4 linked regions of the Pelodiscus sinensis genome follow. The protein of the gene in region 2 interacts with the protein of the main gene of each other region in a pairwise test. Links are inferred from orthologs where the notes say so. Each region holds a gene or a part of one and is shown on either strand. Other genes may lie near its edges. The genes, in order: CHD2, TRIM41, GPATCH2L and protein FRA10AC1 homolog.

The links.
Region 1: the proteins of TRIM41 (region 2) and CHD2 interact in binary tests that used the Homo sapiens proteins (3 or more experiments, as listed by UniProt). The two-hybrid records come from large-scale screens. The link is inferred for Pelodiscus sinensis from reciprocal best matches to the Homo sapiens genes TRIM41 and CHD2.
Region 3: the proteins of TRIM41 (region 2) and GPATCH2L interact in binary tests that used the Homo sapiens proteins (3 or more experiments, as listed by UniProt). The two-hybrid records come from large-scale screens. The link is inferred for Pelodiscus sinensis from reciprocal best matches to the Homo sapiens genes TRIM41 and GPATCH2L.
Region 4: the proteins of TRIM41 (region 2) and protein FRA10AC1 homolog interact in binary tests that used the Homo sapiens proteins (3 or more experiments, as listed by UniProt). The two-hybrid records come from large-scale screens. The link is inferred for Pelodiscus sinensis from reciprocal best matches to the Homo sapiens genes TRIM41 and FRA10AC1.

The regions. Positions count from the first base shown.
Region 1 is NC_134724.1:12,518,216-12,526,009, forward strand, and holds the start of CHD2 (chromodomain-helicase-DNA-binding protein 2), read right to left. Parts: upstream 3,027-7,794; 5' UTR 761-3,026; intron 502-760; 5' UTR 354-501; coding exon 292-353; intron 1-291. UniProt on the Homo sapiens protein: ATP-dependent chromatin-remodeling factor that specifically binds to the promoter of target genes, leading to chromatin remodeling, possibly by promoting deposition of histone H3.3.
Region 2 is NC_134742.1:1,231,580-1,238,734, reverse strand, and holds the start of TRIM41 (E3 ubiquitin-protein ligase TRIM41), read left to right. Parts: upstream 1-4,154; 5' UTR 4,155-4,385; coding exon 4,386-5,255; intron 5,256-7,155.
Region 3 is NC_134714.1:43,250,616-43,258,682, forward strand, and holds the start of GPATCH2L (G patch domain-containing protein 2-like), read right to left. Parts: upstream 3,064-8,067; 5' UTR 2,989-3,063; coding exon 2,968-2,988; intron 1-2,967.
Region 4 is NC_134718.1:41,756,819-41,764,872, forward strand, and holds the start of protein FRA10AC1 homolog, read left to right. Parts: upstream 1-4,971; 5' UTR 4,972-5,332; coding exon 5,333-5,365; intron 5,366-8,054. UniProt on the Homo sapiens protein: May be involved in pre-mRNA splicing.

The sequences.
Region 1 (7,794 bases), on a different chromosome or scaffold from region 2:
AAACTGAAATTCAGAAACTAAAATAGCCTAACACAGAGAAAAGGGCTCCCTTGAATAAAGGTACATTACCTTTTGATTCTGACATGGGCCCTTAAGTCACAACACAACTTTCAGAAATTGCTACCAAAAAATAGGGTGTGGCATATTAACAATCTCAAGGTCATTCCTTAAAAAAGGGAATGAAAATCAGTTAAATATTTTGTAGTAAGAAGTGACAGTAACCTAAAGCTGTCAAGGTAAACATTGTATTCAGAGGTTTTTAAAAAATAAAATAAAGTTGATAGCTCATACCTCGATGCATTGCTGTGTACGGAACCCTCCTCTCCTTGGCTTTTGTCCTCATTTCTCATCATCTTTTAATTCTTAAATACTAAGGGGGGTGTAGGGTATCTGTGTTTGCTTTGATGTCCTGTGCCCAGGTATTTACTGTCAAAAGTTGAAAGAAAGGTAAGGTCCCAGTTTGTTTCATCGGCTTTCGTTATCAAGAACAAAGTCCTGACGCTGCAATGATAGTTGTAACAATACACAACACTGATCAGCACAGGAAAATGGACATTTAAAACAATAATATTCATTTTAAAAGAAAAAAAATTGAAGAGAAACAGTCCAGAACAGCATCTTGCAAACTTTCCCAAAGTAACAGAAGCAGCAAAAAAAATCTCTGTATTTTATTGCGTCATCCCAATACAGCTCAAGTCGGTCGAAAAATCTAAGTACTTAAAACCAGCAGAAATCTGAAAAATAATAATTGCCCACATACCTGATTCACGCACCACCGCCAGGACCAAGCCGATATTAGTTTCGGGTAGTGGAAAAACATTAGATCCAAAATATTAAGAGGTTAAACGCCAACTGTATAGTTTTAGATAATAAAAAATAAATAGAGCCTAATTTCCAAAAATATACTGCTGTTAAAGCAAAAACAGCGATAATTAGTAGAAAAAATGTCCCGGGGAAAAGCTCATTAGGAGAGCGCACAAAAATGGAGGTACGCCATGGCTTCTAGAGCTGGAAAAACAACGACCTGGGCTCTCTCCACGGCTTCTTCTTTCCAGCAAGGCACGAAAAGAGAGCCCTCAAAAACTGCTTTTCTGCCCGAAAAAGCCTCAATTGCCTCCCGATCGGTGCCTAGGACAGGCAAGGGGCTGTGGGGGCCCCCTGAGGCTGCCCGAAAGTTAGGGAAAGTTGCGTAAAGTGTTGGGAAGGCACGGAGCTCAGCGCGCTCTCTCTAAGGCACAGCCGCCATCTAGAGCTCCTTCCCAGCTCTGAGCTCTGCCTTTGATTGACACTCTCTACATTTACCCCACAACTCAGGTGATGTACCATAGACCCACCCCTTCATTTCTACCAAAAAAACAGATAGCCTCCACCTAAAGGGTGCCTGCCACCCCCCCACATCCTTGGCTTCTTCAGACCACCCCATCTGAGGGGGCACCTTAACCCCATCTGGTTCAGGCACCCTTTTAATGCAGGAAAGAAATGTCATTTGTTTCTTTTGTTTTAAAGATTTGCTAAATATTTCAGTCCTTGGGCTAAAATTACTTCCTCCCTGGACAGGAAGTGGTGCTGTAACAAGCCATTTTGAAAGAATGGAAGATGGACTAATAGCCAGACTTGAGCAACAACCCTCTTTGGAAGTCAACCCCACCCAATGGGGAGCAATTAAAAAAAATGAAAAAAAAAAATCTATGTTCAATCAATAATCCCCTTCACTTATCATACAATGTGTATAACTGAAGCTTAAAAATGGAAAGTCACAACAACCAAAAGAAAGCAGTTTGCCAGTAACCCTTTCATCTCAACAGCGCCTCCCTAGTGGTTATTGAGAAGAGCAAAATTAAATAGCTATGTTATTTTAATTTAATTAATTCAATACACCATGAAAAAATATAGCATTCTGGTATGTAATGTCCATGACTTAACCCATTATTGTTTGTAATAGACCTTAACATCCTAAAAGGGACTTTTTACAATCTTGAGAAAGTCAAGGTCCAAAAGTAATTATTCATTGTAATCCAAGTAAATTCTCAGATACTACTTCCCAGTGGAGAAAACATGACTCATTCAGGAATTGGAGGGGATCTAAACACAAAAGATGCTCTTATTCCCAGTGACCACTATTCCACCCCAACAACCAAAAATAGTAGCCTATGCCATCAGAACTTTTCACACATTTATTGTCCATTTTACAAGATACTGGAATCAGGCATGTGTACCAGATTTTTTTTTTAGTAGTTTTGATTTGGCCTTATATTAAGCGCATCAGAAGTGGTACACTGTCCCAACCAATGGCAAACAGCAAGTTCTACCAATAAAAACAAGTTGCTTTCTTTCAACTTCACATCCTTGCCATTCTTGCCCTGTAAATCCACCCTCTCTCCAATGTGTACTAAAAGGAAGGTTGCGTAAGTTTGATCTGCCATACCAATAGTGCACTATTGACTGGTGAATTATTATATATAGAAGAAAGCTGCCCTCTACACAGCACAATTTAAAAAAAAAGTTATAAAAAGGAAAAGAGCACCAATTCCAACCTGAATTTGAGCAATACAAAGGAAGTCAATTAGTTTGACTACTCGGTCTTTTAGACTGTCTAAATGCAACTCTGCCATATAATAAATGGCAGAAACAAGACTGGGAAGAGTGTACATTCAACATTGCAAGATTCAAGAGTTATGAATAGCCTATCATATACTAAGAATGAACATTTCCAACAATTTATCTTAAAGAATAAGAGCTGAACAGATCGTGCGCCAAATTTACAGTATTTGTCACTTGGAGATTCCTTTTGTCCAGTCTATCTGAATTTACTCTCAAATCTGCATGGTGTTCAGACATGAGAAAAGTTAAGCTACCTGTCCAAGATACATTTTAAGTATGTTTCTCTGTAGCCAGAGGTTGAACATACAAGAAATGTAAGAGGCAAAGTGATCTATGAAATAACTGAATTTTACAATACTACATCATATAGGTAGACCTTTGTGTTTATCTAGTAATAAAGATCAAAATAGTTCCACTTAACACTGTGCAATCTATTTGTATTATCAAGTCAACAAGAAATTCACAGTATACAGGATGGCCATGAACTGTAATAAACATTTGTACAGACTAAATCTAATCCATTTTAAATACATTGGTTTAACATTCTTTACGCTAAGGAACTAAACGCCAAAGAAATAACTTTTTTTAGAATGGTGTAACTTAAACACAATCCAAAACGTAACAAGTTTCCAACACAAAGCACCTGCAGGAAGAAAGGAAGTCATTCAGGCAACTAATTTGAAGTTCACTATAAAAGGTTGTGTGTGTGTGTACACACCCGTCCACATAAGTAACAAAAACAGATTACAGCAACACAGAAGAGTTCCTCAGCCAGACCAAGGATAGTTCAGGATGACCCTCCACTGCCAGCCAATGAATATACATGTTGTCTAGTTTGCCATTATTTGACATTTATACCATCCTATAAAAACTTTGGAAAGTTAAACAAAAGGACTGACAACTGTTCAAATACTGAATATAGAAAGTTAAACATTTTAACAGCATGGATAAGTAAAAATAAAATATTAGAAATTGAGAAACTGAAGTCTTTGAACCCAAATATAGCCATGTTTCAAATGAAGTATTTCGTAAATCTTACAAAACCTTCAATGTTTAAGACAATTGTCATTTTCAGAATCCAATAATCAAAGAATTTAATGACCTAAGTAAGCATCAATACACATTCTAAGTATTTTTCAGTCAGGAAAGAGACAAACCAAGAATAAAGTATAAAACAAATTTATTAAATAAGTCACTTAAAACAACAATACATTTTTCCCAAATAGATGGCAATATCAGGCATATCAACTTGAGTCCCCCGTCAAGGATACATTTCTGAGTATAAAATTTTGCCATCCCCACCCCCTTAAAAACAAATCCATTTTCTGTTCACTTATACAACACCATTTAGAAATTCAAGTCCATTTTGGTAGGATGATCACAAACCAAATCTTCTTTGGTTTAGGAACAATGAAGTCCATGTTAAAATTTCCCTGTCTTGGATGTATATATCACAGCACTCATGCATTAGTCCAGTTTCTCAACCTCTCAATCAACAGTAGAACTGCCATCTTGGTTTTTCATTCGTAGACTCCATTTGACACTCTTCATCTGACTGGACTCTTTATAAAAAATTAAAAGAAAAATGCTGTTGGAATAGAGATAATCTTATCCTTAAACTAAACAGATAATATTCAACCATGTACCTTGAAGACATTTTGAACATTAACTTTAGAACTAAAGCTTCATTAATTTGGTTCAATATAAATTATACCTGCCACATCTGATTTTGCCATCAATTAACTTAGGCACATCCAGCACTATGACAGGTAAGTTTTCAAAAATACAAATAAATACTACAGGGGAAAATAAGAGTTCAAGAAACTTTGAGAATAATTAACTCACTTCTAAAAATTTGCATGGGGAACTATTAAAAATTAAATAGAGAAGGGTTTCATCTCTGGTGACAAGTACTTCTGCCATCTATGACAGTGATGGGTTTCAAATTAAGATGAAACTAAGCCTAATTTTTATACCACATTACATTTTCAACAACTGTCCCCCTCTCTGCTTCTAGCACACAAGTTATCAAACCCAATCATACCAGGGATATGACAGCTAGGTTATTATTTGAAGGTATTGACTGAGTCAATAGAAATTCCTAAAATTGTGCCATCTTGGCGATAGTCTTCTAACTTGGGAAATGGAACACCCATGGTGCTGTTTCATTTTTAAGCAATCAAATTTCAGTATCTACTAGAAGAAAAAATGTATCAAAATCAGATAGTAACTATGCAGATTGCATTGCTTTGTCTCATAACTTTCAATACAACCCGCCTAATGCTGTTCTCCAATCATGTTTTTTTCAGCCATACGCTCAAAGTTTGCTTTTCATAAAGCAGCAATTGGGCCTAAGACACCAGATCAGTGACAAAGTGACCATATGAAGCATTATTCTGACTTGCCATTAAAAAAGGGAAATTTGGGCCTATAGATAAAGTTCTCTTGACTTGAAACAAGCCAAATGTGGCCCAAGACAAATGCAATAAAGTACTTTTTTAAACTACCATTTGCACCCATATACACAACCCTTAAGCACAGGAAACAACTAAATGGCAGAATAGCAAAGAAAACTTCAAAAAGCACTGCACTGATGGCTTGCTTGTAGGCTAACTATAGGTGGAAAACCCTTAACTGTACAATAAATGGCTTTCAGTAACTTCTCAATAGTGAATTTGCATTGTAACTTTATATGTGACATCTTTTATTCCATTCTTTTGAATGTGGCTTTTTAACTTAACCTTCAGTTTAAATTTTACAGCCAATTCTACCACTCTGGTCCCCTTAAGAAAAACCTCCAGATGTGCATAATCTTTCCAGGCAAGAAAGGCTTCAAAAATTACCAAAAAAGACAGAATTGAGTGTAGTCATCTAGTGTTTTGACTCATTCAATGCCACTATTCTCACTTAAATTTTACTTAGTTGGACAGGATATTTTGAACTATAAAGGTACAACAAACTTCCTGTTTTGGGTTAATGACTTGCCATTTATAATGTTTCATATCCCAGTATTCTTGGATGAAGTGATTTTTCCCCCACTTAAGATATCTCTATTCCACATAAGTGGAATACAGGAGCAACTATTTAGATTGAACTATTAGTGGTATCATATGTAACAAGTGAAAAGGGTAGCAGAATATTCAAATCACAGGATCTTCCCATCTTAAACCTCACATACCTCAATGTTCGGTTTTGTTTTGTTTTTTAATTGAAGTGGTATTTCTACTTTTAGTGGGGCATGTATTTTTAACCAATACTATCTATACTGAAAAACTTACAAGTAGTTTATTATCTATTATATATTTTGAAGGGTGTGTTTGTGGATTTATTTGTGCAAAATAAAGTCATACTTTGTGATTACCTACAGATACCAAATTTGCATAAATAATCCTGCCTCTTAAATTAGCGGAATGTACTACTTTTGACACCAGAATATGCTGGGTGAAAGATTTAAATAATTATTTTTGTTTTTCATCAGAAATGTCATTACTATTAGGATCAGAGTTCATAAAAATATTTGCTAATAATTAAAATTGAGTCACCCATTCAAGTCACCTATTCAATTGCCATGTTAGCGTAAAGAAAAATGTTACTGTTATATATATCAAAATAATTCAAGTTAGTCAAAGAAAGAGTAATGAAAGTTTTAAGAGTTTCTGATTCAAGTTTTTACTATGTATGGTAATTATTCAATAAATTGGATATGTTTGAAGTTGAAATCCTACAAATTTAAAACTGGTTTTACTTCCCTTTTGCAAGCACATTAATAAAAAATTCTATGACATTACATTTCTTGAACTTTCCTATATGTTTGTGATCAATGGAAAATTACTTTGCCCAGTCAACGACGGGTCTCACTTGCTAGTATATCATATTTTACATACTCATCTAGATTTAAACCAATTTAGACACAGATTAGTCAGTGTTTCAAAATATTTTTAGGAACTAATGAAATCTAAAGTACCAAAACATGACATAACCACAATCTCGTCAGTGAGTGGGTGAGGCAATATGGTTTACTGGACCATCTTCATGTCCAATACAAGATTTTACCTCACCTATTTTGTGTGTCTAATATGCTGGGGCTAACAGGAATACAATTCTTGTCTGTCAAATATTTGGGAATGTTTAGGTGACTGAGATGAATACTAATGAAATTCACCAAGTTTCTTGTTTCTTTTTATGATTACAGCTTCTATTGGTAAGAAGTAAGGGAAGCCAAATATTGATCTGATAACCATAGTAAGCCTTTGTTTTGCAGTTCTATCCATGAAAACCTACTTCTGTTGGGTCATTCCAACTGACTACAAAGCAAAATGTGATTGAATAAAATATATCATCCCTAAGGTAATCTGTGCTTGGATCAGCCATATTTGGTTGTACCAATGAATTTGGAAACAACTGACAGTGGTAATCTGAATTTCATTTTGCTAATGTCACCATTTCTGTAACAAGATCCTGCAGTGAAAGGAGTTACAATAGGAAAGTATTAATAGCATCAGTAAATAATTTGGACAATTCTTCCAACCACACAGGTAAAACTGTGTTTTTTTTAGGATACATCTAGTAAATATTTCAATGTATTTTCACACGTTAGATTTCTCGTTGAGTGACACTTCTACAATGGCTTGATTTTTTAAACAGTCACACTGGGCATCCATGACTAAGACTCCTCTTCTTACTATCTGAATCTTATGTTCTCTTTATGTCCTTTTGTGGAATCAAAGAATTAGCCATCACTATTGCTCAAAAAGTTTTCCTACACCCTATTGTATTTTTATTTCTAATTGAACAAGATTAATATCTAGGCTATTTAAGGCAGTTACCACAAGGTTTGGTATGTTTCCTTCATATCCTCAAACTATACAACTGCCAATCTTATTAACAGTCCACTGCAGTACCTAGATACATATTCAACCAAACATTTGAAATTTTAAAATTTCTACATGTATCTTCTCTTCACACTCACAATATTAACTTTTTGCTCTAATTTAGAAAGATGACTTTCGGTAATAGTCCACTGCAACAAATAAATTTGCAATCTTTTGTAGCCAACAGTAAGTGTTCAGTTTTTCCTCTTATGTTTGCCAAAATCCCACAACAATTCCCTAAGTAGGTATGTCCAAATACATATATATATAAAAACATCTTATGTTTAAGTAACACAAAAAGATAAAATGCCAACCAAGTTGT
Region 2 (7,155 bases):
GAGATTTTCTGCGGTCGAAAACACCGCCGGGTTCTTTCGATTGACTTTCGAAAGAACGCAGCAGCAGCCTAGACGCAGGTAAAGATTTTTCGAAAAAAGGCCACTTTTTTCGAAAAATCCCTGTACTCTAGACACATAGATATTTTCATACCTTCTGCTCCTTGTTCCTCCCCCCCCCCTTTTTTTTCCTCCTTCCCCCCTCTCGCTTCTCCCCTATTTATTTTGGGTCTGCACACCCTAAACTCAAAGCTCTGGTCATCTGAAGAAGAGGGCTGTGCCCAGGATAGCTCATGATCCCATCTCCATGTTACGTTAGTCTATAAAGTGCTACCAGACCTTTTGGTGTTTTTGAAGTTTGTCTTGTATCCAATGTTAGGCTGAAGTCAGCCCTGGAGCAAATCTAGCCAAGTTGTGAGAGCCATTGTGTCAAGCATATGTATTATGAATGATTATTGTTGTTCATTAATACTGACTGTCATGTTACAATTGCAATTACTATTAATCAATATCATGCTGGAAACAAATGATTGTAAATCCAATTAAGAATAATAAACTGCTAAACTTTTGCTAGGTCCTGGTGTTTGAAATGTACATCCTGGCATGTCTGAGAAAAGCACAGGAAAAAAAAGAATTAACACCAACAACATTCCTCCCTTTTTTGCCCCCATGGTGCTGGGTAGGAAAACCACATGGACTCACTTTCGCTGCTGGACTTTTGGCTTGTGATTCAAATGCTCCATCAGTTCTTGGCCTGTCTCCAGACCAATCCCCTTTAAAAATCAGCCCAGTTCCCTGAGTTGCTGAGGAAATGCAGCTGGTCTGGGTTTAGCAGACAGGCAGACAGACCAGCTCAGAACTTGGCTTTGGAGTGGGGGGGGGGGGGGAACATGAGCCCCCCCTTGACTTAGCTGCCTTTACAAGACCAGCCAGACCCTGGAAACAGACACAACTTTACAGCCAGGGAGGAAAAAAGAGTTTAAAATAAAAAACTTGGGGTAAAAATTTTCAGCCGCCCAACGTGGGGCTCGAACCCACGACCCTGAGATTAAGAGTCTCATGCTCTACCGACTGAGCTAGCCGGGCTGTTGATGCAATTTCACCTAAAATAGGCCTGTCTCCTTTTCCAGTCTGGGCTTTGCCAAATGTCCAGCCCTATATTGTACTGACCCCAGACTTGCTTCCTATCCAGCAACTTCCATCCCCGGGGGAAAAGTCTGGCCTGGGATCTGTAGGAAACCCCTTGTTCCTCACCTCTGTCTCCCCAGGGGGATACCACCAGCGCCTGGGCTAAGAGTGGCCGGTTAAAATCAGCCCCCCTCTTTCCTCCCCCTCTCCGCCGGCTGCCTCCCAGAGAGGTTGTCGAAACTGCTTCAAAATGGGCCCTTCCGTTTTCCCCCCATTGGCGCGTGGAATAAATTTTGTGCGGTGCACCGAGGCCGGTGGCGATGTGCACCACCAGCAGACCGCGGGCGCTCTGCTCATCCGTTGGGCGGCATTTGGAGCTCTCCAGGGTGGCCATGTGTCCGGTTTTGGCCCCCGACAGTCCAGTATTTGCAACTTCTGTCCAGTAAAACAAACAGAAAATACCGGACATGTAAAATGTCGGGTATTTTCTGTTTTTCGGGGACGGAAGGCCGCTTGGGACAGTCTTCCCCTCCGCCTCTGGTGGGCATGGGGAAAGCAAGATGATATAAAGGCGCCGTAACTCTTTTGTGAGGTTGTTGTTAGGCTGTTTTTATTTCTCAACAACTTTGGTCCTCGTGGCCTTTTTTGGGGGGGGGGGTTTTTTGCTCACCCAATGTTTTTCCCGCAAACGTACCTGGGCCGAGGGCTCAGCGTCCAGGGAAGGCCGGCTGGCGAGGGCTCCCAGCAGTGAGGGAACCACCTGGGATGGAAGGAATACGTCCGCCCCCGTGAAAAGGGGTTAAACACGGCCCCTCGTGCCCTGGCTTTTTATGGATCTCAGCCTCCAGTGCCTCCAAGGATCCCACATGGTTCATTCAGCATGGCTGGACCTCAGAGTTGTTTCGGGGAGTTTTTTCCGGACACCTCCAAGTTAGGCCTTGCGGGGCGGCCCTCCCGGGACAGCCCTGCCTGCACCAGGCCTTCGACTACAGGAACCGAGGGGCCTCGCGAGCAGAGGACTGGAGAGCCTCGTGCTAGAAATTGGGGTGGGCCCCGCCGCACTTAAAAACGCCTCGCTCCCGCGGCGAGCCACAAAAGCGCCGCCGTGCGCTCTTACCGTGCCGTGGGCCGGCTGTTCCCTCGCGGTCGCACGCTGCTCCGGGAAATCCACGGCTCCGGGCGGGTGGGACGGGCGCGTCCGGGGACACTAGGCGGGGCGGGGCGCTAGGCGTGTCGTGGGGACAGGCTTCCCGGGCACCGCGCCGAGCAGCCGGTGGTCAAACTCGGGGCCGGTCCCCGGAAGATCTCTGTGCACCCCTAACGGGAGCACTCTTACCTACCCACCGCTGCTTCCCCCAGGGGGTCTCCTCCCGGCTCGCCACCCCCGGCTCCAGGCAGGCTCCACAAATGCCTCTTCAGCAGGGCCCCCTCCCTTCCGCAATTTTTTTTCTTTCGGTGTGGAATAAATTTTGTGCAGTGCACCAAGGCGCATGCCAATGTGCACCACCCCCGAGGCACTGCTGGCTGGGGGGGGCTCCAGCTCTCTCCTGGGTGGCCACTCCCCCCCCACACACCCTCCCTCCGCAACGTGCCCCCCCTCAGCACCTCCCACCCCACTGGGGGCGGGGCTTAGGGCGGCCCCGCCCCCACAAACGTAGGCCCCGCCCCTTTGGAATTTATGGGTGAGAAAGAGGCCAGAGCCAGAGCGCCCCCCCCCCAGCGTCTTCTACCCCACCGGGGGCGGGGCTTAGAGGCGGCCCCGCCCCCTTCAGCGTCATCGGCCCCGCCCCCTTGGAACTTAGGGGCGAGAAGGAGGCGGAGCCAGAGCGCGTCCCCCCCTCCTCAGCACCTCCCACCCCACTGGGGGCGGAGCTTAGGAGCGGTCCCGCCCCCTCCAGAAGTAGGCCCCGCCCCCTGGAACTCCAGGGGCGAGAGGGAGGCCGGGCGTGTGACGTCACACGGGGAGGCGGGGCGGATCCGAGCCGGAGCGCCGCGCGCAGAACCTCCCAACGGGCGGGGGGGAAAGAATGGAGCGTGGGGCCGGCAGTTCCGGTCACATGACGCGCTGTCCTCATCCTTCCCCCCCCCCTCCCTGCCGGAGAGCGGCGGAACGCGCGCCGGGGGGGGGGGGAGCCACTTCCGGTCACATGCCCCGCCGCGCGCCCGTGGCGGAGCGGTAAAAAGGTCCCGCCGCCACTTCCGGCGGAAACGGAAATAAGGCTCCCGCTGCCTCTTCTTATCCCCCCCTTCCCCCGCTTGCCTTGACAGCCACCATAGAGCGCGCGGGTAGAGCGTCCTCGGGCAGCCGGGCAGGGCCCCTAGTGGGGGAGGGGCTGAGGGGTCGGGGGACCCCCAGGAGGAAGCAGGGGGGCTGAGGACCCCCAGGAGGAAGTAGGGGGGCTGAGGACCCCCAGGAGAAAGCAGGGGGGCTGAGGACCCCCAGGAGGAAGCAGGGGGGCTGAGGACCCCCAGGAGGAAGCAGGAAGGTCGGGGGACCCCCAGGAGGAAGCAGGGGGGCTGAGGACCCCCAGGAGGAAGTAGGGGGGCTGAGGACCCCCAGGAGAAAGCAGGGGGGCTGAGGACCCCCAGAAGGAAGCAGGGGGGCTGAGGACCCCCAGGAGGAAGCAGGAAGGTCGGGGGACCCCCAGGAGGAAGCAGGGGGGCTGAGGACCCCCAGGAGGAAGCAGGAAGGTCGGGGGACCCCCAGGAGGAAGCAGGGGGGCTGAGGACCCCCAGGAGGAAGTAGGAGGGTCGGGGGACCCCCAGGGGGAAGCAGGAGGGTCGAGGGACCCCCAGGAGAAAGCAGGGGGGCTGAGGACCCCCAGGAGAAAGCAGGGGGGCTGAGGACCCCCAGAAGGAAGCAGGGGGGCTGAGGACCCCCAGGAGGAAGCAGGAAGGTCGGGGGACCCCCAGGAGGAAGCAGGGGGGCTGAGGACCCCCAGGAGGAAGCAGGAAGGTCGGGGGACCCCCAGGAGAAAGCAGGGGGGCTGAGGACCCCCAGGAGGAAGTAGGAGGGTTGGGGGACCCCCAGGGGGAAGCAGGAGGGTCGAGGGACCCCCAGGAGAAAGCAGGGGGGCTGAGGACCCCCAGGAGGAAGCAGGAAGGTCGGGGGACCCCCAGGAGGAAGCAGGGGGGCTGAGGACCCCCAGGAGGAAGCAGGAGGGTCGGGGGACCCCCAGGAGGAAGCAGGGGGGCTGAGGACCCCCGGGTGAAGTGGGGGGCTGAGGCTCTCAGGGGGAAGCTGAGGGCGGGGGGGGCCCATGGCGGCGGTGGCCGGGGAAGGCGGCCCCGGGGGGATGCCGTGCGGGCAGCCCAGCGCGGTGGAGACGCTGCAGGAGGAGGCCGTCTGCGCCATCTGCCTGGACTACTTCACCGACCCCGTCTCCATCGGCTGCGGCCACAACTTCTGCCGCGTCTGCATCACCCAGCTCTGGGGGGGCGAGGAGGCGGGCGAGGGCCGGGCCGGCTACGCGGCCGAGGCGGCGGGGCTGGGCGGCGCGGAGGACGAGCTGGACGACCAGGCCGATTACAACGATGAGGAGGAGGAGGAGGAGGAGGAAGGGGCCGAGGACGAGGATGACATGTGGAGCGAGGAGGACGAGGAAGCCGACTTCTGGGACGACCCGGGGGAGGACGACATGTGGGAGGACGAGGCGGGCGACGAGCTGTACTTCGAGGAGGACGACTACGCCGAGGAGGTGATGGAGGAGGAGGAGGACCTGGAGGAGGAGGAGGAGGAGGAGGAGCTGCTGACGCCCACGCCCCCGGCCGCCGTGGCGCCCCGGCCTCGACCGCTCCCCCCCTTCACCTGCCCCCAGTGCCGCAAGACCTTCTCCCAGAGGAACTTCCGGCCCAACCTCCAGCTGGCCAACATGGTGCACATCATCCGACAGATGCACCCGCTCCCGCAGCGGCTCGCGTCCCCGGCTGCTGTGGGGACCTCAGCGAGGCCCGAGGGGGCCGCGGCGCCGGGGGCGCTGGAGAGACGAGCCCTGTGCGAGAAACACCAAGAGCCCCTCAAGCTCTTCTGCGAGGTGGACGAGCAGGCCATCTGCGTGGTGTGCCGGGAGTCCCGGAGCCACAAGCACCACAGCGTGGTGCCGCTGGAGGAGGTGGTGCAGGATTACAAGGTACGCCGGTGGGGAAGGGTCGCCGGAGTCCGCTGGGCCGGGCGCGGCTGTAGAAGTGCAGCCGGTTAACCGAGAAGCGGATGCGAACACGTCCGTGCTATCGGCTACACGCGTTATGATGTAATGGCGTAGTCGATTAACCCGTAACCGAAGCGTATCGGTTAATGCTGCAGACGACGTGCGTTCCTCCCTCTTTCCCCCGGCCGGTACACTTTTAGCAGGCTGGCCAGCAGCCCGGCTCAGTCCTGGCTTGGGACAGGTCTGGGACCTGCCCCCTCTGCGGCTCAGACAGGCAGTCGGTCCACGAGAGCAGCTGGGTCTGAGACCAGCTCCCGCCTGGCACCCCCGCTGCTGCCTCTGATACAGCGGCAGCAGCGCGGAGTGTGGGGGGCTCCTCGGGCGTCTGCCGGCCCTGCCCACGGGGACTATCGAATGGTTAAGTAACTGAGAAGAATTCATGAGGCTGCTCGACTATTCAGTGAACCGATATGTAACCTGCCTAACGCGCATCCCTTCCGCCAGGACGTACGTTGGCAGGCTGCCTTGCGCTGGGTCCCGGGAGCTACCGCTCTCCTGGGACCCCGCGCATGCTGGGACTGAGGACTTGTGGCGGAGGTGACAAACCTTTTGTCGACTTCACGACTGACGAGTTACACGCTTTTTAACGTCCCTGGTGGGGTGTCTGGGAGCCGTTGGCGTGCCCGGGGGAGGCGCCGGGGCCCCAGTGGGTCCGGTAAGGCCAGCGCGTGGCTGGAGGTACCGCGTTGGCTCCGGGAGGCCAAGGGGGGTTCGTTGGCTGGCGGGTGACAACGTGGAGGGTCGGCTGGGACAGATGGTGGAGCTATGGGAGTGGAGTAGAAGGTTTTGCTGCTCTTCCGAGATACAGCACAGCGCAGACTCGATGCGGACCTAAGAGTCAGGGCAGGCAGCCTTCGACCTCTTGGGGGGCAGGGGTACACAGGCCCCTGAACCCCCCCGGACTCGACTCAGTCTGTTCGAGACAGCCCCTCTCTCCGCCACTGCTCACCCACTCCCCCCAAGTAGCCACACCCCTTCCTTTGATCAAACTCCTTCCCCGTGCCGGGTGAGCAATGGCTAGGCCCACCGAGGCATTTATGTGCGCCCGCTGAACTATCTGGGCCAGCCCCGCCCCCTGGCGCGCAGCAGCCCCCAAAGGTTGGGGACCACTGAGCTAGGCCATGGCCTTCGTGCCTGCCCTCAGGGACCACCCCCCGCTGGGCGGTGCACACGGACACACACACAGTCTCTGCAGAGCAGCACGGGGCGGTAGGGGTCACCCACAGCCCGACCCAGCAATCCGTGAATGCCCAGCCAGAGTGGACATCACAGCGTGTCCAGAGCCAGCGCTGCTGGGCACAGAGGGTCCCCTGAGCGCACATCCAGGCATTAGACCCGGGGACAGCCGGCAGCAAACCTGAGACAGGCAGGAAGACGCCAGGCCCCGAGCATCGCAGAAGGCTTTAGAGGGACGCCGCCGGCTTACGGCTCTGTTGCCCGGCGTCACGAGGGTGAGCCGGCCTTCTCCGTGCTCATTCCGGGGCACCTCCACGGAGGGATCGAAATTCTGGATCCGTGCTGGGCTCTCTGGGGGGCTGTGTGTCCAGCGCCCAGCACGGCAGCACCCCGGTCCGTGGCTGGTGCCTCCAAGGAGAACTCCCCTCGTAGCTCGAATCACAAATTCCGATCAGCGTGGCCCTGAAAATCAGGGCCCGGAGGGCGGGGTAAAATTTCCCCCTCGAAGGTTGGCAGGAGCCAGGCCGAATAGTCCTGTAACTAGAGGCGACTGGGAGCGGCGAGCGCGTGTATTTTATTTCTCTCGCCAGCTTTTCCTGTGTGCGTGGCCGGCGCCTGACGCCAGGCAGGGAGGGATCTCAAAGCG
Region 3 (8,067 bases), on a different chromosome or scaffold from region 2:
TAAAAACTGTGGGTAAGGGCAAATTCAGAGAAGACTATATATATACACCCTATGCACAGGCTCACCACAGATATAAACAACAAGTTATACAGGCCCATGGTGCCCGAGCCCAGAAATATTTCTATCCTGGGGACCTGCTCCACCAAAGTTTGGAGCCTGGTCTTTCCCCCAGCCCCACGGGGAAGGTAGGGGTGGATGGATATCTTCATGCACTGCCCCATCCCGAGCACCCCCTGTGGCCAATGGGAAGCTGCAGGGGTGATGCCTGAGATCCCCTAGCCCAGAGCCTTCACCCCTCACTAGGGATGTTACACTTTTACCTGAGTAAATTAATTTTGTTTACACACAGGGCATGAGGGGGAACTGGCTCTCTGGAGAACCCACCTGACCTCCCACCCCGTGCTGCTGCCTCTCCCCACAATCCCCGGCTCCTGCCTGCCCACCTGCCCCTCGTGCTGCTGTCTCTGACATGCAGCAGCACAAGGGAGGTGGTGCAGCTGCATGTAACCATGAAGGTTCACCAATGAGCCCAGGCTCACCAGATAAGCATTTACACTATCACATCCCTAGCCCTCACCCCATTCTGCATCCCTGCCCCAGCCCAGGGCCTGCACCGCAGACCTCCTCTCACATCCACATTCTCTCCCAGAGCCTGACCCCTCACCCCTTCAGCACCCAAAGTCTCTCCCACAGCCTGCACCCCAATCTCCTGCCCCAGCTCAGAGTCTGCACCCAGCACCCGAACTCCATCCCAGAGCCTGCATTCCTGCCCCACCCAAATTCCCTCAGACAGGGAAAGGGGAGGGAAGAGGTTTGGGTGGGGAAGGAGTGCAGGTTCTGTGTTCTCTGGACACCACCAACATTTCTGCAAACCTGCTGCCCCTCAGCATGGAGGCTAGCTAGCTTCTAAATCTAGCCTGAATACTCCTGCCTTCCAAGCTCTCTGACACCACAAGATGGTGCTCCCTAGCACCAGCACCTAAGAGGAGAACTTCTAAATTCACCCGCACACACAGCAGCAAAGCAGCCACATAAAACATCCCAGGTGTGAAATGAGTTTTGCAGCTTTGTTTGAGGACAGCACTGATAGCCCCAATCTGGGGGTGGACACAAGCTCCTCATGTCACTACTAGCACCTGTGACAAAGACAGGTGGAGACACCGGTGTGAAGGAGATCGGAAAGCAGGCAGGCATATCTCCACTTTTGCTCTCAAACCCAGAGCAGTGGCTGGGAGCAGGAGGGCTCCTACTAGCCTGCAGAGGAGCAGGCCTCATTGCTCTTCTGCCTTATTTAACTCACCTTGGCAGTGCTGAGGCATAATCATGCAAGCAGCAGGTCCCTAAATATCCTGCTTCCACTTAGCCACCTCTCCCAGTGCCCAGCCAGCATGTAAATCCAACAGGAGCTGCACTTCTGCCTTCACTTTTTTTCCCCCTAAGCTAGTCCAAAGTGCCAGTGAACCCTGGTCAGGAGAAGAGGTTTTCCACTGGGGTGGGCAGCCATTATTCTGCTGGAATGTTTTATTTTCTAAGGGGAATGGAAAGCAAGGGGGAGGGGAGCTTAGGCAAGCGTGTGCACTGGCAGCAAGTCTGATGTCCTTGTCCCACAAGGTTATGGACCCATTCTATCTCAGACAAAAAACCCTCATGGAAACACGAGAGTCATAAAACAAACATGAGGGCAGCAGATGCCCCGGAGTAGAAAACAAGGGGTTTATGTGGGGAGCTAGACAGACTCTTTGTAGCGTACGAGCAATGAGGAGTTTTGGGGAGCAGGGTAAAGTCTGGGGGAGAAGAGACTGAAGAAATAATATTCTGCTCTCTTTTCTCCTGTATAGATAACTAAGGTCAATAAGGCCTTACTGGTGTAAGTGGGGGCAGCATTCGGCCTCATGCAGCCTGGTCTCATTGGTTAACATGCACATTTACACATGCAGGCCCCCTCCGACGCTCCCACACTGCTGCCTCTGTATCAGCTGCCTCCCTCTGTGTACTGGCTCCTGCAGAGCCACCCTCTCCCCGCATGCTGCAGCGTGAGGCAGGGGCAGGTGGGAGCTGGTATGCAAGCTAGTTTTAAAGCCGGCTCCCCGTGTATCCAGCTCCTGCCTGCCCTCTGCATGTAACCACTAACGCATTTTAACTTCCCTAATTCAGACTGATTGATGTGCTTGACTGAAACCCTAGCAGTTGGGGGGACAAGAACAAATTTAATTTCTATAGCCCCTTTTCATCTGAAAGCCTCTCAAGGTCCCTTACAAATGATACGCCCACTGTGGAAATGCAGGTACCTAAAGGTGGGGGGGCATAACAGCTATTTAACAACCACACAGGCCACCAAAAATCACTTCCTGATGAGATGACAAACATTTTGAACTAATGAATATCAAAATGGCACAGGTATATGGAGAAAGAAATATTCCTGCTACAATTCAGAAAACTTTGAAGATTTGTAAGCTCTGTCATACAGTCCTAGCACACCACTGCATACTTACAAAATGATAAATAATAAAATTCCACAAGCTAAACTCAGCATCTTTATTTGAAAATATATTTGGAATTCAGTTTGTTTAGGATTTAAGCACCTCTAATCACTATTACTGTTCTTCAAAGTTAGTAACTTACAAAAATTAGCAGACAATGTCCTATCTGCATATTTCCAATGTGCTGAGCACACCGATATTTAGGTAGAATACACGGGGATCTGAGAGAGCACAGATGAGTTTAGAATTCATGGGACTACTAGTGAGGGAGTTGGCAGCTGAATTAATTGTGAAACTGCTGAACAAAGTCTGTTAAACTAAAATGCCTGAAGTCTAACTTAAGAAGAAAACCCATTTCAAGCTAATACCCACTCACAGAGTAAAGAACCTTATTTAACTATGGAAGCTACATTAGCTCCATAAGTCATGGGGGGAGATGGCTACTGAATTTTCATCACAAAGTACAAAATGGATAAGAATTACTTGCCTTGTGCCAAGTGGCATGCATATATACCAGGTGCAATTAGCTCATGGCCATCAGAGCCCAGAGGTGATGAACTGGAACAGCTGAGAGAGATGGAATCTGGAGGCAAATCAACAGGACTTTGTAAAGGAAAATCATGCCTCCTTCATCTACTAGAATTCTTTGAGATCAGCAGAAAATTAGTGAAGAAAGGAGAACCAGATGATAGTCACTTGGATTTCCAAAAGCCTTGGACAAAGTGCCTTTCAAGAGATTAAAGAAACTAAGGGTATGTCTGGACTACATGCCTCTGACGACAGAGGCATGTAGATTAGGCTACCCGGCATAGGAAAATGAAGCGGCGATTTAAATAACCGTAGCTTCATTTAAATTTAAATGGCTGCCACACTGATGCCTCTGTATCAGAAGCAGCAGCACTGGGTGACAGGTAGCCGGTCTGCAAAGGGAGCTGGTTTTTAAACTGGCTCCCCTTACGGACCAGCTCCTTCTGATACAGAGGCAGCAGCATGGAGCAGCAGGAGGCTCCTGGGAGTGGGGACGGAGTGCACTGGCTGCCGGTCCCACCCCCGGGGATATAGACTACTCGAGTAACCAATAAGAATTCATGAGGTTAATCGACTATTCAATTAACCGATATTTAACATCCTTAAGGACATGCCTTATGAATTGACAGACTAGATTATTCCCTAGTCCATTCTCCAAAACTTTGCCCATTCCAGTCCCTAACTATGCGGGTTCCAAAAAAAGATGATTCCTTAGCCCTGTAAATCTCACACCATGAGTTTCTTGATATTCAGTCTAATTTTTTACTGCTCATTTTCATCCCATTTTCCCTTGAGCCACCTGGGCAGCAATTGTCCTTCCAGAGAATTTGTACCCTTTCCCAAGTTTGCTCTTTCACCCTTTGAGGACTGGGATCTTCATTCCCTTCCACTGAGATTCCTATTTTTACACATGGGAGGACTGTGATAATTTTTTTGCAAGCAGCTGTTGGAAACTGCAGTTGTGATGCGATTGAATGATCTCAGAACAGTCTGATCCAGGACTAGTTATATAACTCAGTGGCAATTCTTCCTCTGAAGGGAGAGGCTACAGGATGAACCCCTCACTGGAAGCATATCAGATAGGCTGGATCTGTTTCATGCTGCCCCTGCCAGCAGAGGGCACTGTGAGAGAAAAAGCTGAGGTGGGTGACAAGAGAAGGCTATGACTAGAAATCTTACCAGAATCACAATGGAGAGGCCCCAAGAATTATTTAACTTCTGGTTTCTTGGGGTGTATTGCTTCTATTTCACATTGTTATGAGTGGCAGTTTAAGTGCCACTCCCTTTGATAAGACCATCCTGCTAAGAAAACCTCACCTGATCCTCCCTCCTTTGCCCTTCACTCTCTCCACAGCAGCTTCATCCACCTCTCTTAACTTCCCCAGCATATGTGTGTGTGTGTGGAGTGGTGACTGAAGGACAGCCCTCACACAAGGAATATGAAGAAAGCTGCCAGTAGCACCATGACTGTCAGGTTCCTTGGCTCACTAGTCACATGTTCTATCTGCATGTAGCTATTTATTCATTTGATGTAAAAGTGAATTCATTCCCCACCCGCCCGCTTCTTTTACCATCTGTCCATTCATTTGGAAATCTGTTTCACTTGACCTTTAGCTGACCAAAGCTTCTCTGTTCCCTCCATCCTGCCACGGGCTCCTCCAGACATCCCCAGCTCAGGAGCTTTTAGCTGAATATGCAAATGTCCCCCCCAGCCAGCTGGTGTCTGCCTCCCAGAAACACATGTTCAAAAGCCCACTGGGCTGTTGGAGAGGAGGAGGGGCAAGACCCTGCACCCAGCCCTTGAGGCTGCAGAAAGTTACTTATCAAGGAGTTATACAGCAGCAAAACAGATGGGAGGAGAAGAGAAGAGGAAAAAAAAGGAGCTGAAGCATGCATCTGTATATATACATAGTAGGGTCAGTAATGTGAGTATGAACATACCAGGATGGGGGGGGGGGGAGCGGGTTATTGATGGGAATGCATAAGAGTGGGAGTGATGTACAGAAGTAGAGACCATACATCACTGATATATTGTCTGTCTCTCTCCTCCTGCTCCCTGCTGGTCATCATCCAGGCTGGTTTCTTTATGTGCCTGTATATTTACAGTGCTCTTTTTACAATGGTATCCAGGTATTCTCTCAGAATTTTAAGAACAATGAGTTGTGACATCATGACTTTCGATGTGATGTCAGAGATGGATGATGGTTTCCTACCAAGCACTGAAGCAATCTTATAAGTATACGTCTAAAATACGTCTTTGCCCCCCCGTAACACGCCCCATCCAAGGATCTTAGAGCACTTTTCAGACATTCACTGTGGATCAGTTTCATTCATCCTGTTTTGTAGATGGGAACTCTAAGGCATGGAGAGCAGTGTTCCAAGGTCACATTGCAAGAAAATGACAAAATAACCCAGGAATTCTAATGCCTGGTCTCTCAAGAATTACGCCTCACTGAAGACAGCAAGAACATTACACAGGACTGGCCCAAGGTGGTTCATACAATGTCTCTGCCATGTGGGAGATGAGACAAGTTGGAAGGAAGGGGACAGAGTGCCTCATAGTTTTCCAGATTGGTCCCTCTGCCCCCTTAATCAGCTAAGTTGCTTGCTTCCAAAGGCTAACTTGTTCACTGGCTCTCTCAAGGAGAAAGATGGTGGCTGTGAGATGTGGTTTGCATAGGTGCCTGGTCCCTCTCCACATGGTGCAAGATTCCATTTTTCATTAGCTCTTCCAGAGTCTCTTTCCTGCTAGTCTTCATGTATCTGGGGGTGTTTCCTGCCAACCTTTGGAGCAATATGACACCTAGAGAATGTCACATCACCCACTTTCTCTAGGTTAAGGAAATATCAAGATGCTGGTATTGTAAATTCAACAGAGCTATTAACTGTCTGGAAATTAGAATTCAAGGAACCTTTCTACCCTACCCCAAATTCCTGCTCTCACAACAGCAGCTCTGTCCTTGGCTCCAAGGGAACCAGAAGTGCAGCTCCAGATGTAGCCAACAGATGCTGCTCTTTGTGGCCATCGGCAAAAAGCACGAAGTCATGAGCTGCCAAGAGCAGCTGAAGGAAGGGATATGGCAGACAAGGGAAATACAGCAGAATGGAGCGTGCAGGGAGCTGCAGTAGGAAGGCTGGGGAGTTGTATGTTTTCTGTTTTCACAGCAGGTGTCAAGGGATCCATTGACCTTTGAACCAGGCCAGGTGCGATACAGGGTGACCCCAGTGAGAAAGAGTGAGTGTGCCAATCCCCCTCAGACTGGTTCCCCCAATTCAGATCCCTGGGCATATCCATGGGACAACCACAGAGGCACAACATCAAGGGTTGTGTAAAGGATCTGGGGACACCATGTTTCACCGTCCAAGGAAGGGATGGACTGCTCTCCTTAAGCAGGTCTCCATCAGACCTGGTTTTAAGTTAGCCCTAGGGAAGCTGCAAGATACAAAAAGGTTCTGGATGCCCTGTGGTGGGGGAAGTGGAGAGATTTTGGCTACCCTACATGTATGGTTTAGATAGGGGTGGATTCCAGAGGCCCCATAATAAAATACAGTATGTGTGTTCTTCTTCCAAAAAAGAAATGAGCATTGTTGCTCCATTTTAGAGATGGGAAAGAGAAGGCAACTGAGGCACAGAAAAAGGAAATCACACAGCAAGTCATGTGGCAGAGCTGGGATTAGAATCTAGATCTCTGCTCCCTCTCCTGGGGTCTCTCTGCTAGCTCATGCTGCCTCACAGACAGCAGGGGCGCATTGCTGGTTCTGGTCTTTCCAGAGATGAAGATGGAGGTACAGGAAAACCTCAGCCACCCCAAAGGGCTAGACTACCAGGATTGGTTCTAGCCACTAAGGGGAACAATTCAGGGTCACAGCCACTTTACACAAGGTAACAGTCTCTGGAACTGAGACAGCTGATTGTTCAGTTAAGTGAGTATTAAGACTACCTGAAGGTTCCCACATGTCGCTCAACCTGCAGGGCTCTTCATACAAACCCTTCTATAGTCTCAATTTCAGCCTCTTACTAGCTGTACGTGGCAAACTACCATCACCTCCTCCTGACCTTTCTGTAGCAATGTGACAGGCCACCAGGGGCACAGGATAGAATCATAGAACAGAATCACAGAACACTAGAACTGGAAGGGACCTCAAGATGTCATCAAGTCCAGACCCCTGCCCTCATGGCAGGACCCAGTACCATCTGCACCATCCCTGATAGATGTCTATCTAACCTGCTTTTAAATATCTCCAGAGATGGGAGATTCCACAACCTCCCTAGGCAACTTATTCCTGATAGGAAGTTTTTTGTAGGGTACATCTAAATTACATCCCTTTTTCGATAAAGGGATGTAAATTAGACGTATCGAAATTGTAAATGAAGCCGGGATTTGAATTTCCCATGCTTCATTTACATCAGTGGTCCCCAACCTTTTGGGGCTGCCAGGCACCCGGGGGCGGGGCCACTCACGCACCGGGCACAGGGGGGGCAGGGCCACCCATACGCTGCTTGCCCAGTGCTGGTGCCACCCATGTGCTGCACTCCTGGGGCCAGCGCCGCTCCTGTGCTGCATGCTCAGGAGCCAGCATCACCCACGCGCTGTGCACGTGGGGCCGGCGCTGCTCCTGTGCTGAGTGTCCAGGGGCGGGGACGCTCATACGCTGCGCGCCCAAGGGCAGGGCCGCCCATGTGCTGCGCACCCAGGGGTCAGCGCAGCCCTTGCGCCTTGCACCCGGGGGCAGGGCCACCCATACGTTGCGCGCCCAGGGACCAGCACTGCCCATGCACCACGTGCCCAGGGCAGGGCTGGCCCCGATCACTCAGCGGGCACACAGAAATGGCCCGGCGGGCGCCACGGTGCCCGCGGGCACTGCATTGGGGACCACTGATTTACATAATGGTTGCTGCAGCTTTTTTTCAAAAAGCCACTTTTTGGGGAAAAAAAAAACGCAGTCAAGACAGGGATCGTTTGACAGAAATGCCCCGTTTCGAAAGATCCTGTAAACCTCATTTTTTGAGAATTACGGGATCTTTTGAAATGGGGCATTTCTGTCAAACGATACTCAT
Region 4 (8,054 bases), on a different chromosome or scaffold from region 2:
CAATCTCCAATGTGGTAAGTATAGAAGTGGCTGGAGTATGAAGTGTAAGGAGTTCTGCACAAGAAACAGGAGATTTCTTTCCAGATTGGGATGCAAAATAAAGGAATCAGATTAAAAAAACAAAAAGAAAAACAGTGAGAGTAACAGGCAATTAAGCTAATACAGGGTTACTAGGATGTTTCCTAATGTTAAACATCTGTTGCAAGCTTGGTGAACTACAAAAAGTAAATAGACTAAATGACAGAAAGTAATTGTAAATTTTTCTACAATTGTTTCAATTGTTAGATTCAAGAGGTTGTAACAAAGATACTATTTTTTTTGAGATAACTGATTTTTTTAGACAAATGATATGCAGTAGATCTATCTATCTGCATGTCTGTAAGGCATTTGATACAGTTTCACATGAGAAATTATTACTTAAATGAAAGGTGGAAAGGAACTGATTGAAGGGGAGACTACAATAGATATACTGAAAGCTGAACTGTCAAGCTAGAGGTAGGTTACTAGTGGAATTCCTCAGAGGTTAGTCATGGAACCAATCTTATTTAACATTTTCATTACTGACCTTGGCACAAAAAGTGGGAGTGCGCTAAAAATAAATTTGCAGATGACACAAAGTTGGGAGGCATTTCCAGAATGGAGAAGGACCAGAACATCATACAAGACAATCTGAATGACTTTGTAAACTGGAGTAATAGAAATGGGATGATATTTTATAGTGCAAAGTGCAAGATCATGCATTTAGGGGCAAACAACAAGACATCTTTCTATAAGATTTGTTAGTTGGAAGTGACAAATAGGGTTGCCAGATGGTTTCAATGAAAATACTGGACACACTTGACATTACATCACAATCTACATTACATGTTATTTAGAAAATACCGGACATTTATATTTTCTCAATTTGTTTCCCGAACAGAAAGCTCAAATACTGGACTGTCCAGTTCAAAACTGGACACCTGGCAACACCTGGTGATAAAGGAGGAAAAAGATGTGAATGTGTTTGTTGATCACAGGTGACTAAGAGCCATTTATGTGTTGCAACCATGAAAAAGGCTAACACATTCCTGGGATGCATCATGTGAGGTATTTCCTGTAAACAGGGAAGTGTTAGTACCATTATACAAGGCAATGCTGTACCTAATCTGGAGTTCTGTGTGTGTCTCATGTTTAAGAAAGATGATTTAAAACTGGAACAGATGCAGAGAAGGGCTAGTAGGATGAATTGAGGATTGGAAAACCTACCTTTTGAGAGGAGACTCAAAGAGTTTGGCTTGTTTAACCTAACCAAAGAAGAGTGAGGGGAAATATCAGGCACAGGGTTCCATGGAGGGGGGCTCAGGGCAGAAGGTGCCTTAGTTAAGACAGGGAGTAGGGCTCAGAGTGGAGGAACAGGAGTGAGGGCAAGGAGGACTGGGGGGGGGCTCAGAGCAGGGGGTAGAGGGTGTTGGAGTGAGGGCAGTGGATGGAGGGCTCAGGACACAGGGTAGAAGTTTGGGGGCAGGGCATTGAGTGGGGGGCTCAGGGTGCAGTGAGGGAAGTGGACAGGCTCAGGGCAAGGGGTGAGGATGCAGGACTCAGCATGGGGTGGGGGAGGTGAAGGACTCAGAGCAGGGAACTGGTGCTGTTTTAGCAGTGGAGTGTGGGGGGATTAGGGCAGAAGGTTGGGATGAGGAGTGAAGGAGTCGGGGTGTGTGTGTGTGTGTGTGTGTGTGTTGTGTGTGTTGTGTGTGTGTGTCACACCATAGTCTTCAACTGCTGGGATGCAAGGTCCCATTGCAGCGGGCAGCCTAGGAGGCTGAAGGGCGCCCTGAGAAGTTTAAGGTCCGTGTCTTTACTACTAGGACCGGGGTCCCGTTGCGGCAGGCAGCCAACAGGCTGACAGACACCTCAGAGTTTATAGGAAGAGCTTATTACATCTCAGATTTTAACTGCTAGGATACAGGATCCCTTCGCAGCGGGCAGCCCCTATGGATCTGTCCTCTGGAAGCGACACGATCCAAATGCCCAAGCTCTCCCTATACCTGTCCCTTATGACCAGCTGAAGTTCTTTTAAATTGTGCTTGGTTCTGTTACAGCAACTGAAGGAGTCAGGTTAAAGCTTAAACAGTTACGCTGTGTCTAGACTGGCCACTTTTTCCGGAAAAGCAGCCGCTTTTCCAGAAAAACTTGCCAGCTGTCTACACTGGCTGCTTGAATTTCCGCAAAAGCACTGACGATTTCATGTAAGATTGTCAGTGCTTTTGCGGAAATACTATGTTGTTCCCGTTCGGGCAAAAGTCTTTTTCCGAAAAACTTTTGCGCAAAAGGGCTAGTGTAGACAGCAGAGATTTGTTTTCCGCAAAAAAGCCCCGATCGCGAAAATGGCGATCGGGGCTTTTTTGCGGAAAAGAGCATCTAGATTGGCCGCGGACACTTTTCTGCAAAAAATGCTTTTGTGGAAAAGCGTCCTGCCAATCTAGATGCACTTTTCTGAAAATGCTTTTAATGGAAAACTTTTCCGTTAAAAGCATTTCCGGAAAATCATGCCAGTGTAGACGTAGCCTTACAGGTTTATTAAAGAAGCTTATAAATCATATGGTTACAATGGCTATTGCTCTATTTCTTAACTGCTAGAAAATATAGATCTTAAAAACGGTTATAAAGAAAATAAAGATAGAAAATAGAAATAATGGTACCAAGTGACAGCTTAGTCTTTAAAGAGCTCTAAGTCTATGTGTACACTTAAGACAAAGGACCACATCCAGGTACAATTTTTATCCCCTTCTGTGCCTCTCGAGTCCAGCGTATTAGGCCAGGGCCGGTCCCTCAATTCCTAGGAAAGACGAATACGAGGTGGGCGTCTTCATAGAACCTGGGGAGGTCAAACACCTAACCCGACCAGCAGATAGATGGTAGATTGACACGTGGGCTGTGTCTACATTGGCACACTTTTCCGGAAAAGGGATGCTAATGAGACCAGTCGGAATTGCAAATGCCGCAGGGGATTTAAATATCCCCCGCGGCATTTGCATGAACATGGCTGCCGCTTTTTTCCGGCTCGGGGCTTTGCCGGAGAAAAGCGCCAGTCTAGACGGGATCTTTTGGAAAATAAAGCCTTTTCCGGAAGATCCCTTATTCCTCTTAAATTGAGGAATAAGGGATCTTCCGGAAAAGGCTTTATTTTCCGAAAGATCCCGTCTAGACTGGCGCTTTTCTCCGGCAAAGCCCCGAGCCGGAAAAAAGCGGCAGCCATGTTCATGCAAATGCCGCGGGGGATATTTAAATCCCCCGCGGCATTTGCAATTCTGAAATGTCTCATTAGCATCCCTTTTCCGGAAAAGATTGCCAATGTAGACACAGCCTGGCTGTGTCTACATTGGCACCCCTTTCCGGAAAAGGGATGCTAATGTAGACTTTGGAATAGGCAAATCTGCGGGGGATTTAAATATCCCCCGCGGCATTTGCATTAACATGGCTGCCGCTTTTTTCCGGCTTGGGGAAAAGCTGGAGAAAAGCACCAGTCTAGACGTTATTCTCCGGAAAATAAGCCCTTTTCCGGAGGATTTCTTATTCCTACTTGAAAGCCAGAAAAAAGCGGCAGCCATGTTAATGCAAATGCCGCGGGGGATATTTAAATTCTCCGCGGATTTGCCTATTCCAACGTGCTACATTAGCATCCCTTTTCCGAAAGGGGTGCCAATGTAGACGTAGCCCCTCAGAGTAAATGTGCTGCTGGACCCATCTTTATACCCATAGGGGCCTGAATACTCTGTCTTATCTAAGATGCCAAATTGTGTTGGTCTGTCTTTGTGACGCCAGTTCTTACAAGGGAGTTTCAACTTAATTTACACTTGGAAGAGAGATAACTAAATTGTGAGTACTGGACATTCTTTATTGGGCGAGAGATTCCTCCCCCCGCAGACGGCTTTGTGTTTGTATCCATATAGGTGCCAGCCAAGGCAGTTCTCACAGCCTCGAGGTCAACAATTGGCATATCTGTTTATAGCCATCTAGGGTCACAGCAGCCTGCATATCCGGGCCTTCTGTTCAAGGCTTTTACTGCTCTGTGTGCCCTGTATGCTCCAGGCAAGCAAAAATGGATGTTACGGAGGGGGGGGGGGGGGGGAGGGCTCCTGTCTGGCTACAAGGGGGCTCAGAGCAGGGGGTGGAGATGTATATGAGAGACTCAGGGCAGGGGAATGGGATGAGTGTGTATAGGATGGAGTGCAGGATGTGAAGCTCACCCCATTTGTGACCCTGCCCTGCTCATATTCCCTGCCAAAAGGGAGCTGTAGGGGCAGCATTCTTAGGCAAGGGAGAGCTAAGGGTGGGCGGGGTGCTGCAGCAGTCCTGAGATCCTGGCCCTGCACGTGGGGTCTTGGCTGACAGCTCTGCACGGCCGGGACTCTGCAGCCAACACTATGGCTGTGTCTAGACTGGCAAGTTTTTCCCAAAAGCAGCTGCTTTTGTGGAAAAACTTGCCAGCTGTCTACACTGGCCGCTTGAATTTCTGCAAGAACACTGACGATCTCATGTAAGAAATCAGCGCTTCTTGCAGAAATACTATGCTGCTCCCGTAAAAGCTTTTGCACAAGAGGGCCAGAGTAGATAGCTCAGATTTGTTATGCACAAAAAAGCCCCGATTGTGAAAATGGCTTTTTTGTGGAAAAGCGTGTCTAGATCGGCACGGACACTTTCCGCAAAAAGTGCTTTTGCGGAAAAGCGCCTGTGCCAAACTAGACGCTCTTTTCCGCAAATGCTTTTAACAGAAAACTTTTCCGTTAAAAGCATTTGCGGGAAAACTTGCCAGTCTAGACACAGCCTACTACTACCCTTCTCCCCAGGCCCTGCAGTTGGCGGCTCCAGCCGTACTCGATGGAAACCACTTCAAGAACAGCACCCCCCAAGGGCCACACCTGCACCACGGCCCGCTCGTTGCAGGCAGCTTCCTGACCCGGGCCGCCGTGGCTCACTCTGCGCCCGCCCTGCTCCCTTTCGTGCCTCCGCAGTGGCCGGCCCGGCTCAGGGTTCGAGTCGCGCCCATTCCCCTGCGCGCGCCCCGGGCCTCGACTGCGCCCGGGAGTCTCCCCCGGGGTCTCTCTCCCCCGCCTGCGGGCGGCCGGGGCGCTCCCTGCGTGAGGCGCCGAGGGAGCCGGGCCCTGCGCCTCTACCCCCGGCCCTCTCCTGTCCCAGCCCCGGTTTCCGGCCGGGCCTTTCACGGGGAAGGACGCTGCTGGGAACCGGCCCGCGCCTCTCGCTCGGCGGGGGCTGGAGGCGCCCAACCACCGGCCGGTTCGCGTGCAGGAAGCGCGGCCCTGCCCATCCCGGGGCGCTGACCGAGCCGGCAGCCATGGTCCCGGCCCAGCTCCTGCGCTCTCAGGCCGTGAGTCAGAGGCAGGGAGCCACCGACCGCTCCCGGGGGGGGTGGGGAGGCGAGTAGCCCGCAGGCCCGAGAGAAGGGAAGGGCGGGCCCGGGGGCAGGCCCGCAGTAGGCCGGGTGGGAGGGGGGCTGTGTTAATGCCAACGCGACAGGTGCAAAATCCTCCTGCAGGCGGGAGTGGGAGTAAATAACACCGGGAACGCGCGGGCCGAGGTGTTCTTGGGGCGCTGCCCCTGCTCTCTCCGCTCTGCCATCGCCTGTGAAACGCAGAGGAGACTCCGCGTTGTTTTGAGCAAGGGCTTTTGTTTTGTCAGTGATTCCTGACCACTATCCTAGAGATGTTACATTTGGGTTATTTTAGCAATCGAGTAGTCGAAACCCGCTAGGTCCTGGCTCACACAGGGATCAAATCCTGCTGCAGTTCTGCAATTTAAAAGACAGTAGGAGTCAGGCAGGCTGCTCCCTGCCTCCTACTGCGTTTGAAATTGCAGAGCCACAGCAGGGTTTGGTCCCTGACACATTCGGACTGAGTGGGGCTGCCTGCCTAGCTCCTAAATTTAGTAGGAACCAGGTGGGCATTCCAGATCAGTCCCTGCTCATGCCAGGGACCAAACCCTGTTATGGCTCTGTAATTTAAAATGGAGTAGGAGGCTGCCTTCCTCCTCCCACCTTTTAAATTGTAGAGCCGCAGTGGGGTTTGGTCCTGGTGCTAGCTAGGACTGAGCAGGGCTGCCTAGGCAGCCAGCTGCTTTTGAGCAGCAGCCCCTGGCTGTGGGGGGTCCCAAGTTTCTACTCGGTCCCCCTCAGTCAGGGGTGGCTTCTGCGGGAGAGGCCACCCCTGCCCCCCTCCCTCTGATAGAGGCTGGGGGAGAGGGTGAGTAGTGGACTGGACCACCCAATAAGATTAAGTTTATTGGGTAGTCAACTAATCGACTGCTCTCTTACATCCCTATGCTAGTCTTGGCAAATTTTCAATGTTTCTCTTCTCTGTGGTGCCAAACAAATCTCTGTCCTTAGTCTTTTGGTCTCTGTTATTTTATTTTGATTTTTTTTCTTTTGTCTCTGTCATCTGAGAACTGTACTTAGCAAAATAAAGTTGAAAATAGTTTTAATAAGTTAACATCATTGCTTTTTGCCCATCCCTCCAATATACCTTCACTACTGTGTAAATGGTTCTGATCTCTTCTCCATCTTGGGTGAAAGTAGTTCTGCTTCAATGCCTGCTGTGCACTGATGAAGTTGCTAGTGGTGGTACTGTTGCTACTAGTGATTTGTGTGTAATGTGTATAGACCAACGATCCTGTTAATTAAGCTGAGCCAAAAAGTTGGACTGATTTAAGTATTCACAGTTTAATTTGGTAAGAAACCATAATTGGAGTCACTTATTTTAATTTTTGCTGTGTTTTGTTTCTTTCCTTTAAAAAAAATAATCATGCTCTGTGGTATGAAAAGCTACTTGTTGGTCAGTAAATTAGATGAATTTTAGGTTCTTCATTTTTCCATTTCAGGAAAAAAGTATTTACTAGACTCTAATTGTTCACTAAATATTCACAGTATTAATGGCACTATTAAAATAATAGAATATCATTTATTTTAATATTTTGGATGTTTTCCATTAGACACGTGAAGATTTTAACTGGTTAACCAGTAAACATCTTACCGGCATGCTTACTGGGGTAATTAGTTACCTGGTGCCCAGCTGGGCTGGAACAGCCCCCTCTCAAGGCATATTGTGGGGGGCTCTGCCCAGTCTGGCCTTGCAAGCCTCTGAGCCATGCGGGGAGGAGGCACTTCAGCCCGGCCAAGCACTGATTAACTAGTTATCCTGGTAAGCGTGGTGTGCAGATAACCGGTTAAACTTATAGTTTCACTGGTTTACAATTTACATAGGATTTTACATTCCTTTTTTCTATATTTTCAAATAGCAATTTACAACAATTAATTGAATTACAACACAATACAAAGTGTACAGTGCTTGCTTTATATTATTTTTATTACAAACATTTTCATTGTAAACATTTTCAGTATAATATGAAAATAGTATTTTTTGACTCACCTTATAAAAGTGCTATAGCGCAATCTCTACATCATGAAAGTTTACAAATGTAGTGCTTTTTTTTTAATATAACTGCACTCGAAAGTAAAAAAAGTAACATTTAGAGCATACACGTCCACCCAGTCCTACTTTTTGATCAGAGGTCATTAAGAATAGTCATTTCCAATCTTTTTATACCACGGACCGGCAAACCCATTCATAAGCTTTTGGCAGACTGTTTTCTTTGCATATTCATTATGGTAATTAATTTTAAGAGGTCATACATTACATCACATCTGTATGCACACAGTACATGTGCAAGGGATCAGTTTGCAGATATCTACAACACTTAAAAAAAATCCACAGAATTCCCCTCTGGCTGCTGGGGTGGGAGGGAAGGGGGCACCTACAGGGTCAGGGGGCATGTGGGGCACCCTATGTAGCATCTGAAATTTTGTCAGGGGCATAGGAGCTGGTGCCCACAAGTGTCACCACCAGTCACCTCTGCCCTCCCCCCACTCCTGCCCCTTGGGGTGGGACAGCTACCCTTGTATCTTCCCCATCTCCTTCTGTCCACCCCTGTCATAAGAACATATAAGAACATAAGAACGGCCGTACTGGGTCAGACCAAAGGTCCATCGAGCCCAGTATCCTGTC